3 linked regions of the Coturnix japonica genome follow. The protein of the gene in region 1 interacts with the protein of each later gene in a biochemical or structural test. Links are inferred from orthologs where the notes say so. Each region holds a gene or a part of one and is shown in the gene's direction. Other genes may lie near its edges.

Region 1 (3,667 bases):
CTAATCTAAATTTTTTCCTCACTTTTTTTAATGTAAATTTTCACTTCACTAGTTTGGGTCACTGTTACTGATAAAGCTTGTTATAAACCTTTTGTCCTACACAAATCTTTTACATTCTTTAATTTCTGTTAGCTAGTTTTGTTGACAGAGACTTGTTACACACACAGATGCATGCGCTTGCACATGCATTTTGCTTTGCCATATCTCAGTTACAGCATAGTCCTATCCAGGGTCATTACAATGTACACATTACATATTTCTAGCAAACATGAAAATGAATCAAACAGGGAGAGATAAGCACAGATAGATTGGAGCCTGCTGAGGAAATAAAAGGCAGTAATCTGGCTGACCACTGGACTAGTCTTTCTGGTCTGATTTCAGCGTCCTTTCCCGTTAGCTGCTGTGGAGTGCTGGCTGCCCTGCAGTGAAAAATTAAATGACTAGCAAGAATAAAGTAACATTTAGTGGGACAATTGTTTGGTGTACCTCCAAAACTAATTGTTTCTGAAGTGATGTTTAAATCAGCGTCGGCACAAGGCAAGAGCCCCTGGCTTGCAGCCAGCACCTTGTAACGCATATTAGAGCAGATGAGGAGTTCTCAAAAGTTAGAGGGAGAGGGAGAATGTGCCTTTCCAGTGCTCACCCTGCATTTGTTTGTATACTCCTCCTCGCCGAGATCAGAGGAATACCTGTGTAGTGCTGCTTTAACATGATTTCTGCTGAGCCTCAGAATAGGTTCTGGTGTTTTTTTTAGGTGGACTGCCAGCTGCCGATCTTGCTGTTGACAGTAAAAGCAGATATGTTCCTTGCTCCCTGCCATTAGCAATGACCATGACCCTTCACACCAAAGCCTCTGGAGTTACCCTGCTGCACCAGATTCAAGGCACTGAACTGGAGACTCTGAGCAGACCTCAGCTGAAGATTCCCCTGGAACGATCGCTCAGCGACATGTACGTGGAAAGCAACAAGACAGGAGTTTTTAACTACCCAGAAGGGGCCACCTACGATTTTGGTACTACCGCTCCAGTGTACGGCTCTACTACACTCAGTTATGCCCCTACTTCTGAATCTTTTGGGTCCAGCAGCCTGGCAGGATTTCACTCTCTGAACAATGTCCCACCAAGCCCAGTGGTGTTCTTGCAAACGGCACCCCAGCTCTCACCCTTCATCCATCACCACAGCCAGCAGGTACCCTACTACCTTGAAAACGAACAGGGCAGCTTCGGGATGAGGGAAACTGCTCCTCCAGCCTTCTACAGGTAAGTGCAACAGAGAATTTCTCTTTCTTCTTTAAGCAGCTATGCTGAGAAATCAGAATATTGAAATATGTCTGCCCTACACTTTCATTTTTGTGTAAAGGACTGTGTAATCTTGTGGAATCTTCCATGATATCGGGACCATAAAAATAGCAGAGGATAAAACAAAACTGTAACTCACAGCTTACTGTGCCTGTGATCTGTAAATAATGAAAACTGTAAGTAAATGGGAAACAAATTAGATAATGAGTGTAAATGTTTCCTGGGAAAACATGAAATCATAATTGATTAAGGAGTGGCAAACAATCTCCTTGTTGCAGTATATTAAAATTACTGTCTAGAAGCATACTGAAAATGTGCAATTGGCTGTTTGTTCAGCTCTTAGCTGCTAGTAAGAGTATTACTTACCTCTGGTATCCTTTACAGGATAAGTGACTTATATAGGAAGTAGTTCACAGGCACAATATCCTTCCAAATCAAACTGTTTGAACTGATTCAATGACAGTATTTCAGTCAGCAACCACTTTAATGAGCTGCAATAAGAGCTATGTGCCTTGCATTTTTAATCAAACTTTGATATATATTAAGCATAAATCTAGCATGCTGCATTTCAAAATAATTTTTATAAATTTAAATATGATTTCTTTTTAAATTTATATTTATCCTTCAATAGAAGAATTTTAATACGCACTGGAAATTGTGAAAGCATATACTTAATTTCTGACATATGTGTGAGAAACTGATAGAACTGTAGCTTCCAGGAAAATATAATCAAACACACCAGTACTCACATTGTTAATCTTTGTGCACTGTTAATAGCTTAATTTTTTACTGGCATATAATAATGGACTATAGCAAATTAAAGTGAACGGTTAGCTCCTAAATGCTGTCCATGTCAGCTTATTTGTGAAATACAGGTGATTTTTATACAAATGGAGAGACCCTCTAAAAATAAAACCAGGTTATCCTTTCCCTGTCGAGGCCAGACTTAACTGTTGCTGGGAACAGCAATGTAGGTTATTAAACACAGTGTCACGCAACCTGAGATAATCTTGTAGCAGAATCTGATCCAAAAAAACAGATGGTGATTGCACTTTTTGCAAATGATTAATCGGTTTTGGGGATCAAGTGGAATAAAGACAAGTGAAAAGATAACGGTTAGGCCAGGCAGCCCAACTAATATGTCTCTTAGCTGAACTGATTCAGACAAAATGTATTTTAGAGCAACTGAAGGCAATAACTCTAGGAGGAATTAATGTACTTGAACATTGAGTATCTGGATTGTTTAACAGTGATGTGGGTGTGAAAGTGTGTTTTGCACTAGATTCCATGTTGTTTTTATTTTATTTTTATTTTTATTTTTTTTTTATTTTTCAATATGATTATCCAGGGCAAAACTCTGTTAGAAAGCGTTTAAGGGACATGTGGTGTGTAAACAGCTGAACAGTGAGTTTGTGAAGCTGAAATGCACATGCAGGAAATGGGCTAAAGTGAGGGCTTTTTACTTGAGGAGGGAGAAAAACCAAGAATCAGTTGGAAATGAAAACTGAACTGTGGAAATGGCATTATTTTATTTTCTAACAGTGAGCGGAGGTGGGACACTTCAAAATAAAAATGGCATACATTGTAGTAGTAACATTCAGGCACTGCAACAAGCATTAAAGGGCAGCGGTGTATTCCCATTGTCCTGATGTTTTCAGTCAAGGATAGGCATGTCCTTTCAAGATGCATTTTAGATGTATATAATATATGAGGCTTAAAGCAGTGGAAATTAGGTGAATGTATGATCTTGGTTGTGCAGGTGGTTTATCCGAATACAGAGTTACAAGACTGATTTAATGGCCTCTTCTGGCCTTGATTCTGTATTGCACATTTGACATGGTAATAGGAAATGTGGAACAAAGTCCTCCCCATGATTATCGTCTGTTACGAGGCATAGTACTGTTAGGATTAAATAGACAAAGCTTTGCTGTTTAAAAATTTCACAAAGACCATATTTGGGAAGTTGTCATATTGACAAAATTAAATGTTAGGTTCTTATTCTTGTATACCAGTTATAAATAGTATGCTAGAAATATTCTAAATAGGTGTTCGGTGTCTGGGAGACATCTCATTATCTAATCATGAGGTACAAGAGCAAGTTCTTTCAAAAATTTTAGTGCATTATTTTCCAATTTGCTTTATTCATTTGTCTGTTCCAATCCCACCTGAATTCAAAAGAGAACATAAGGCAGTGTAATCTGGCAACAAACACATAGATTTTGGAGATTTGAAGATGTCTAAGTAACAAAATGATGAATTTCTGATGTAACATACTAGTATGAGTGGTAAAGGCGTAAAAAACTAAAACCAAAGCCATACAAAAATTTAAATTCTATCATGATCAGTTTATGATCGCTTTCTTGCTGTGA
Region 2 (3,751 bases), on another chromosome or scaffold:
CGGGTATGGGACGGGCAGACCTGCTGCAATGGCTGAACGCTGTGCTCTGCTGTGTGCTCCAACCTACTGTAAAGAGAGGGGCAGTAGCTGGTGCAGGATTGCTGGGTCCTGCCAGTCCACGTGTACATTGCCCTGCTCTATGTGTGTGTGTGTGTACGTGTGAAAGGAGCGCTGGGTGTGTTTCGTGTTGGTTTGTGTCTTGGTGTAACTTTGTACACCCCAATTCACCGGGTTACACCGGAGGGAGACAGTAACGCTGCTGGGAGAAGGGCTCCCACCTTGCTTGGAGATGAGGGCTCCTTGTGGCACTGACCTGGTTTGACTGTGCTGGTGAGCAGATGAGATGGGTTTTGTGGTGTCGTGCTGCACCTTGTGCTTGTTGGTCCTTTGGGTTTCTGGAGATAAAGGCTCGTCCCCAGCTCTGTGGATTGGTCACCTGCTGCCCGTGCCAGCGGGAAGCAGCTCACACAGGAAGGCCCCACCTGGTCCTTTCCCACCAGCAACAGGCACGGAGGGAGCAGCACAGAGCCAGGATTGGGGCATTGCACGTTGTGGCTCAAAGCTCGAAGGGAAGACCCTGTAGAGAGGGGCTGAGCTGATGGCTGCTGCTGGGTGTGCAGAGGTGGGGGGTCCTGGAGCAACAGTGGGTGCGATGCTTCTGTCCCCAACCAGCGGGTCCTTGGTTTCCATAGGGAATAGCACTGCTCTGCAGCACTGCGGGGCAATGGGGAAGCGCTGTGCTGCCATGGATGCTGTGTGCTGTGCTAACAGCCCTGCCCGGCCCGCAGCACTCGAGGGCGCGTTACCACTTTGTAGACTCCCGAGTTGTCCATCTGTTTCATTGTCGTCTTGTTTGGGTTCTCGGTTGTTTCTTTTTATTTTTATGACGAAAGTTCAAATGTAAATAGCCTTTCTTGGTTGTTTTTTGTTTTGTTTTGGGTTTTTTTTGTTGGTTTATTTTTTTGGTTTTTTTTTTTTTTTTGAACAAACTGCAACGTGCTCGACCTCGTCAACTATTTTATGGTACTAATGCAACACTAATAAAACTGGACATGAAAGCACATCCCCGTCCCTGGAGTCATCTGTCAGCAGGGGCTGTTTGGCAGGAGGAGCCGCTGGGTGTCACAGCCGGCACAGGGGGATGGATACAGGGGTGGGAGCGGGGGGAACCGAGCCTGGCGAGAGGGCAGGGGTGAGCTGCTAAGGGCTGGGCGGTGCGGGCTGTAGGTGCGTATTGCGGCTCGTTGTCCTCCCTTGTGGCTGGCAGCACGCGAGGACACGCGGTGCTGAGCGTGAAGCCCGTCGCTCCGCCCGTCGCCGCTGGGCTCCCCCAGGCCGGGCGCGGCGCTCTCCGCCCCACGCTGCGCTCCGTGCCGGCCGCCTCCTTCCTTCCTTCCTTCCCTCCCTCTCTCCTTCCCTCCCTCCCTCCTTCCTTCCCTCCCTCTCTCCTTCCCTCCCTCTCTCCTTCCCTCCCTCCCTCCCTTCGCTCCCGTCCCGCCGCCGCCCCGCCTTCCTCCCGCCGCCCTCCCGCCTTCCTGGAGCGGCCGGGCGGCAGCCGGCGCGGCCCCTTTAATTCCCCCCGCTCCCCTCCCCCGCCCGGCCGTTTCAGCCTCCATTTTCCAGCGGATCCGGCACCTGGAGGAGGAGAAGGAGAAGGAGGAGGAGGCGGCGGGAGCGGCCCGCGCCCCGCACCCGTCCCGGGCATGGCCGCCAACATGTACCGGGTGGGAGGTAGGCGCTGCCCCCGGACCGAGGACCGGCCCGGCCGCGTGCGGGCGGCGCTGCGGGCCCGGCGGGCCGAGGATCCGGCGTTGGGGCGAGGCCCGGCCCGGGGCGGGGCGGCGGGGGTAGGCCGCGAGCGGGGGCGGCCTGGGGGGGGGATGGAGGCCGCGCGGGAGGCCGGGCCCGAGCGGGGAGGACGGGGGGGAAGTCGGGAGTGAGGATGGCGGCGGGGTGAAGCGGGGTGAAGGGGCGGCGCGGGGAGACCGAGGGGCCGCGGGGGGCGGCCCTGGGTGGAGCGGGCGGAGGTTGGGGCCCACCCGGGAACGGCTGCGCGGGGATGGGGCCGCCAGGGGCCGCCGGGCCGTGGGTCGGGCCTCTCCCCGTGTGCCATCCCGGCCCGGCGCCCATGGGCCGCTCGTCCTTTGTTTTAACTCTCGAGGAGAGGAGAGGAGAGGAGAGGAGAGGAGAGGAGAGAGGCGGCGGGGTCCGGCGTGCGATGTGATGGAGTATCAACAGCCGGGTGGGCCGGCGTGGCTTTGCGCTCAGCCATTTTCCTTTGCGAGAAATGTTGTGCGGAACTTCCTTCTCCCCGCGTCCGTGGGGCTCCGGGGCAGCCCTTTGTGATGGGCTGCAGTAAACACGCAGTAAAGTAAACGGAGGGGAAAAAAATACAGCGGAGGTGTCCGAGCCGCCCTGCCCGGCTGCTCGCCATCCTTCGCTACTTTCTGTTCTGTCTGCCTTTCTGGGCCGGCCTCACTCCGTGCCTCCTTTGTGGCAGTGTGGTGCGGTGTTGGTTTACAGATGGATGATGAGCTGTGCCTCTGGGCCGGCCTGCCGCTGCTTCCTGTGCTGCCCCGGCAATGGATGCGCGTGTGGAGCCGTGTGTTGGGTTGTGGTGCTCAGAGGACAGGGATGGAGTTGAGCCTTGTGAACTTACGGCTGGGATGCTGGTGTGAATGGCAAAGGGAATCGCTGTTTGGTGTTTAATATCGTGTATGTGAGTCCTGAGTGCTGTACTGGTGTGTATCTTGCATGGTACCTGTACTGTGTGCCCCGTAGGCTTGTACAGGCAGTGGGAAGGGGCCCGTGCTGGAGATGTATAGGCTGCTTGCTGTTGCAAGTCAGCTCATTGCACAGCAATGGGTAAGTGCAGCCCAGCCGGGGTATTGCTACGGATGATGATGCTGGGATGGTGTCCTTGGTCTGGGCCCATCCCGGTGCTGGATCATACTTACAGCAAATGAACCCATCCTTGTGCTGGGGTGGTGTTGGTGTGTTGCCAGTACCCAGCAGCAGGCGGAACCCGGCCTCTCTCTGGCTGCACTGCTGAGGCCATGGTGAGCGGTGCTGGGCAGCTGTGCTGTGAGGCTGCATGCTGCCACTTGGGCAGTTGTTTTTCCAGGTGTCTTTGTAGAGCCGCTCCGTAGTCCTGCTGTGCTCCTGCAGCTGCCCACCCCAGGTGCAGGGTTCCCTTGGCCTTAGGTGAACTTAGTGAGGCTCTTGGCATCCCTTTTCCCGGCCTGTTGAAGTTCCTTCAAACAGCAGCCCTGTCCTCCAGTGTGTGCCACGTCTCTCACAGTTCCCCACATGTCCACAGAGTGCATTCCCATCACTAGAAAGGTGATGGGAAAGGCTGTGGCCCCGTGTTGATCACATGGCTTCTCTTAGTGGCAGCCAGCTGAGGGTCGTCCCTGTGCAGCCAGCCTTCATCTCTGCAGGGAGCCCCATTGCTAGGGCATGCTGAGCCCCTGCTGTAGCCATTTGGCTGATGTCGGTCACCCCTGTGTGCTTGGGAATGGTGTCCGGGCTTTGCTCCACAACCTCCGCAGGCAGAGGGTGAGGCGCTGGCTGGTGGCCAGTTCCTGTGCTCGGGTGTTGCTCTTGTGGATGAAGCCTTGCTGGGTGTGCTGCCGAGCCCCACGTGTGGATGGATGTGGCCATTTCTGTGCTGCGGCCCCGTCCTGAGCCAAGAGGTTGCGTTGCTGGGTTGCTGCTGACCTCTGGTGCTGGTGGCTGTGTGCTGAAGTTG
Region 3 (3,287 bases), on another chromosome or scaffold:
GCTTAAACTGGTGCCTGGTTTAGGGGTTGGTAACTGCCCACAGCAGCAGGTTGGATGATCTTAGAGTTCCCTTTTCAGCCCAGGCCATTCTAAGATTCTATGGAAGATGAAGCACTGGGTGGGAAGGAAGTTATGTGCAGAATTTCCCAAGAGCTGAATTTGAGAAATACTTCAAAAATAGACACAGAAAGTAAATTTAACACTGTCCGAGTGTTGTCACTAAAAAATGAACTGGGAGACATATTTATTTCTAAAAAAAAATACCCAGTTTTGAAGACTGGAGTCCTGCTTAGTACAACCATGAAACAGAATTTTGTATTATTAGGTGCAAGTTTATGAATTTAAAATGCTAAAAACAACTCGAGTTCATCAGGCAGTGGAAGAAAAAAGCAATCTGTAGTCCAAGGATGTACAGAAGTGCTCCTAGTGTAGTCCAGTGAACAGTGCCTCTATGTCCCTTGAAACATGTCAGTGGAAAAAGATTTCATCAATAAGTAATAATGCCCCTATGCATCCTTCTTATTCCATTTGAGTAAGAAAGTACATCTGAAATGCCAAAATAATTGATCTCTGTAGTTTACCACCATTTCTAAGGATATATTTCATCTCTGAACGTCACTTTAAGCAATACATTTACTGCATCTGAATGGGTTGCCAGAGTTGTTATATGGCAGTCTTGAGGGTGAGACTTAATAGATGGTTCACCTGATGTACAATGTCAGCATCATTTACTTTATTCCATGTAGTAAATGCAGTTGGCTTTATTAGTTATTTTGCTTTTCTTTTAAAGGAGGTGTTTGGAGAGGTGTATGTATTTTAGCCAGTAAAACTAGCGTGCATCACTGTTACTCCAGTAACCCTATTTGTAAAAGGTACAGTTTTTAGATGTTAGAGTTGTATTTCAAAAGGTGAGGCTAAATTTTCCCCTCTCCCTCAGATTTAAAGGTCTGAAAAACAACATGCAATGAACGTGACTGCATGTGGTAACATTTTTCATCTTTGTTTAGGTTCCCGATTACTACAAAATAATCAAAAAGCCTATGGACTTGTCAACCATCAAGAAGAGACTCCAAGTGACTGATTCATTCTACACAAAGCCAGAAGATTTTGTGGCTGACTTCAGACTGATTTTCCAAAACTGTGCTGAATTTAATGAGGTTAGAGAAGTAGACACTTCATCTGTTCTTGTAGGCTTAAATACTTTCAGAAGAACTAAGTGGGGGTAGAGTTTACTTATTTAATTAGACTTACATTGATGATAAGAGCCCAGTGAAAACGTAGATCACCTTTGAGAGTACATCAATATTAGATGAGTATGCAATTGAGATCCTTCTATTGAAGGGAGGAGAGCTGTAACAAACATGCAAACCGAAATAGCAGGGAAACAGGTAGGGAGAAGAATGGCTGTTCATCATATATGTTAATGGTGAACATTTGATTGAAAACTTGGTTTAATCCTCATTGTATTATATCTCAAATTCAGTGGAGTTTTCTTTCTGAAGTCTTACCCTTATTTGTGCTAGGAACTGAGTGGGCAAAAAGGGAGAGAATTGACAATGGAAATTAGATTTCTCTAAGTGTCTTCAGTTGGATTCTCCTTCGGGTCAGTCACTGGGAATACTTAATGCTATGGTGACACCCACTTCAGGAAACAGGTCAGCCATGGTGTGCATAAATGATTTCAGGGCTGCCTGGTCTTCTGAGATGTAGTCATTGTCCATGGTAGTAATATTTTTGCCATAATTAGAGGTAGGTCTGCATCCCAGAAAAATGTCAGCATTTCATGCAGTTGTTCTCTTAGCAGCCTTGAGATGTACTTATATATATTCTTAATGCTATTTGATTTTTGTAGCTTGTAAGAGCACCCGAAGGATATAATGTGTTTTAAGTATGAAGCTATTTCATGATGAACTGATGTTGTTAATTCACCCAACAGCCTGATTCAGAAGTGGCTGACGCTGGCATGAAACTTGAAGCGTACTTTGAAGAACTACTGAAGAGCCTTTATCCTGGGAGGAAGTTCCCTGTACAATCTAACTGCCAGAGTGAAAAAGATAATCCAGAACTTAGTGATGACTCAGATGATGACATCGTACAGCCTCGGAAAAAACGCCTCAAAGGAGAAGACCGACAGTTGCTTAAATGAGACGCATGTGGAACGTTTTTTAAAAACAAAGGATATTTATCACTGTCAATTGTCAAAAGGAGAAGAGTCCTGACTGCTTTGACCTGGAGGTCTGTGGATATCTACTGGACTTTCTGCCCCCTGTCTGAAACACAATTCCAGGGGAGATCCAGAGCATGCAGAGAGCTTCCTTGAAGTTCCAAACTTGCAGCATACTTCTGGAACAGCACAGAAACTGTGATTTGTATGGGATGACAGCTGTTTAACTTTACTTTGAAGTTTGTATAGAATTGAACTTTAAAATGTTACATGGGTTCAACATATGGTTTTCTGAGTTTGAAGAAAATGTGATCTCACCAGACATTTAATTTTACCAAAGGCATGTGGCTGGCCATGATTTGGTTTCTTTGTACTGTATTTAACACAAGCCATGAAAACAGATGTTGTAATATTGTTGTCCTACAATGCTGACTGATGCAATGAAAGTGTAGTTGCCCCTAAAGAAGTTATTGGTTAATTTTAAAATGTGAGGGAGAGTGTATTAAAAATAACTTAAAGAAACAAAAGGAATTTGAGAGTTTTTAATATTGGAAGGAAAAACACGGGGCTTCGTTTTTTACCATTTTCCCTCAGCCAGAAAGAAACAATGGTATTCCTATACAATATGTTGTTTAAAAGGTGCCTCACACGTTTGACGTACTTCTGTTTAATGGAGTTAAATATTAGAAGGAATATCTCAAGGGCAAGAACGTTTGCTTGCAACTATCAAGCTTTTTGGTAAGCTTGGGGGGAAAGAAAAGTGTCTTTTCTGTCTACAAGATCTTGTTGTTTTTCCAGTTTTCTAAATATTATTGTGGGAATGCAGCCAGTGTTAAATAAACAAGTGTAAAGGAGGGGGAGGGTTTTAGAAAAAAGAGATCCTGTTCCTTGACCCTTCTGTCCTTGTTAAAATCAACAGAAACCGAAGACAAATGGTGTTGGAATTTTCTTTTTCTCCTGCTTTCCAGAAGTGCTGATAACAATGTAGATGGTTGTTTCTGCATTCAGCAATTGCAGGTTTAAAGTTCTTCTCTATGAGAGCCGTGGCTGTTGGTTTATACTCTTCACGTATGTCATCTTAAATGAAAACTGTCTTATTTAGGAAGAGCAGGCAATCTCTTGG

The links.
Region 2: the proteins of ESR1 (region 1) and MTA1 form a complex in vitro, tested with the Homo sapiens proteins (4 studies listed by BioGRID). The link is inferred for Coturnix japonica from reciprocal best matches to the Homo sapiens genes ESR1 and MTA1.
Region 3: the proteins of ESR1 (region 1) and TRIM24 form a complex in vitro, tested with the Homo sapiens proteins (4 studies listed by BioGRID). The link is inferred for Coturnix japonica from reciprocal best matches to the Homo sapiens genes ESR1 and TRIM24.

What each region holds. Positions count from the first base shown.
Region 1 is NC_029518.1:44,173,075-44,176,741, forward strand, and holds the start of ESR1 (estrogen receptor 1), read left to right. Parts: upstream 1-825; coding exon 826-1,259; intron 1,260-3,667.
Region 2 is NC_029523.1:3,968,783-3,972,533, reverse strand, and holds the start of MTA1 (metastasis-associated protein MTA1), read left to right. Parts: upstream 1-1,456; 5' UTR 1,457-1,703; coding exon 1,704-1,731; intron 1,732-2,208; exon of another isoform or gene 2,209-2,223; coding exon of another isoform or gene 2,224-2,242; intron 2,243-3,751. UniProt on the Homo sapiens protein: Transcriptional coregulator which can act as both a transcriptional corepressor and coactivator. Acts as a component of the histone deacetylase NuRD complex which participates in the remodeling of chromatin.
Region 3 is NC_029516.1:55,912,935-55,916,221, forward strand, and holds the end of TRIM24 (transcription intermediary factor 1-alpha), read left to right. Parts: intron 1-790; exon of another isoform or gene 791-872; intron 873-1,007; coding exon 1,008-1,157; intron 1,158-1,936; coding exon 1,937-2,146; 3' UTR 2,147-2,682; downstream 2,683-3,287. UniProt on the Homo sapiens protein: Transcriptional coactivator that interacts with numerous nuclear receptors and coactivators and modulates the transcription of target genes.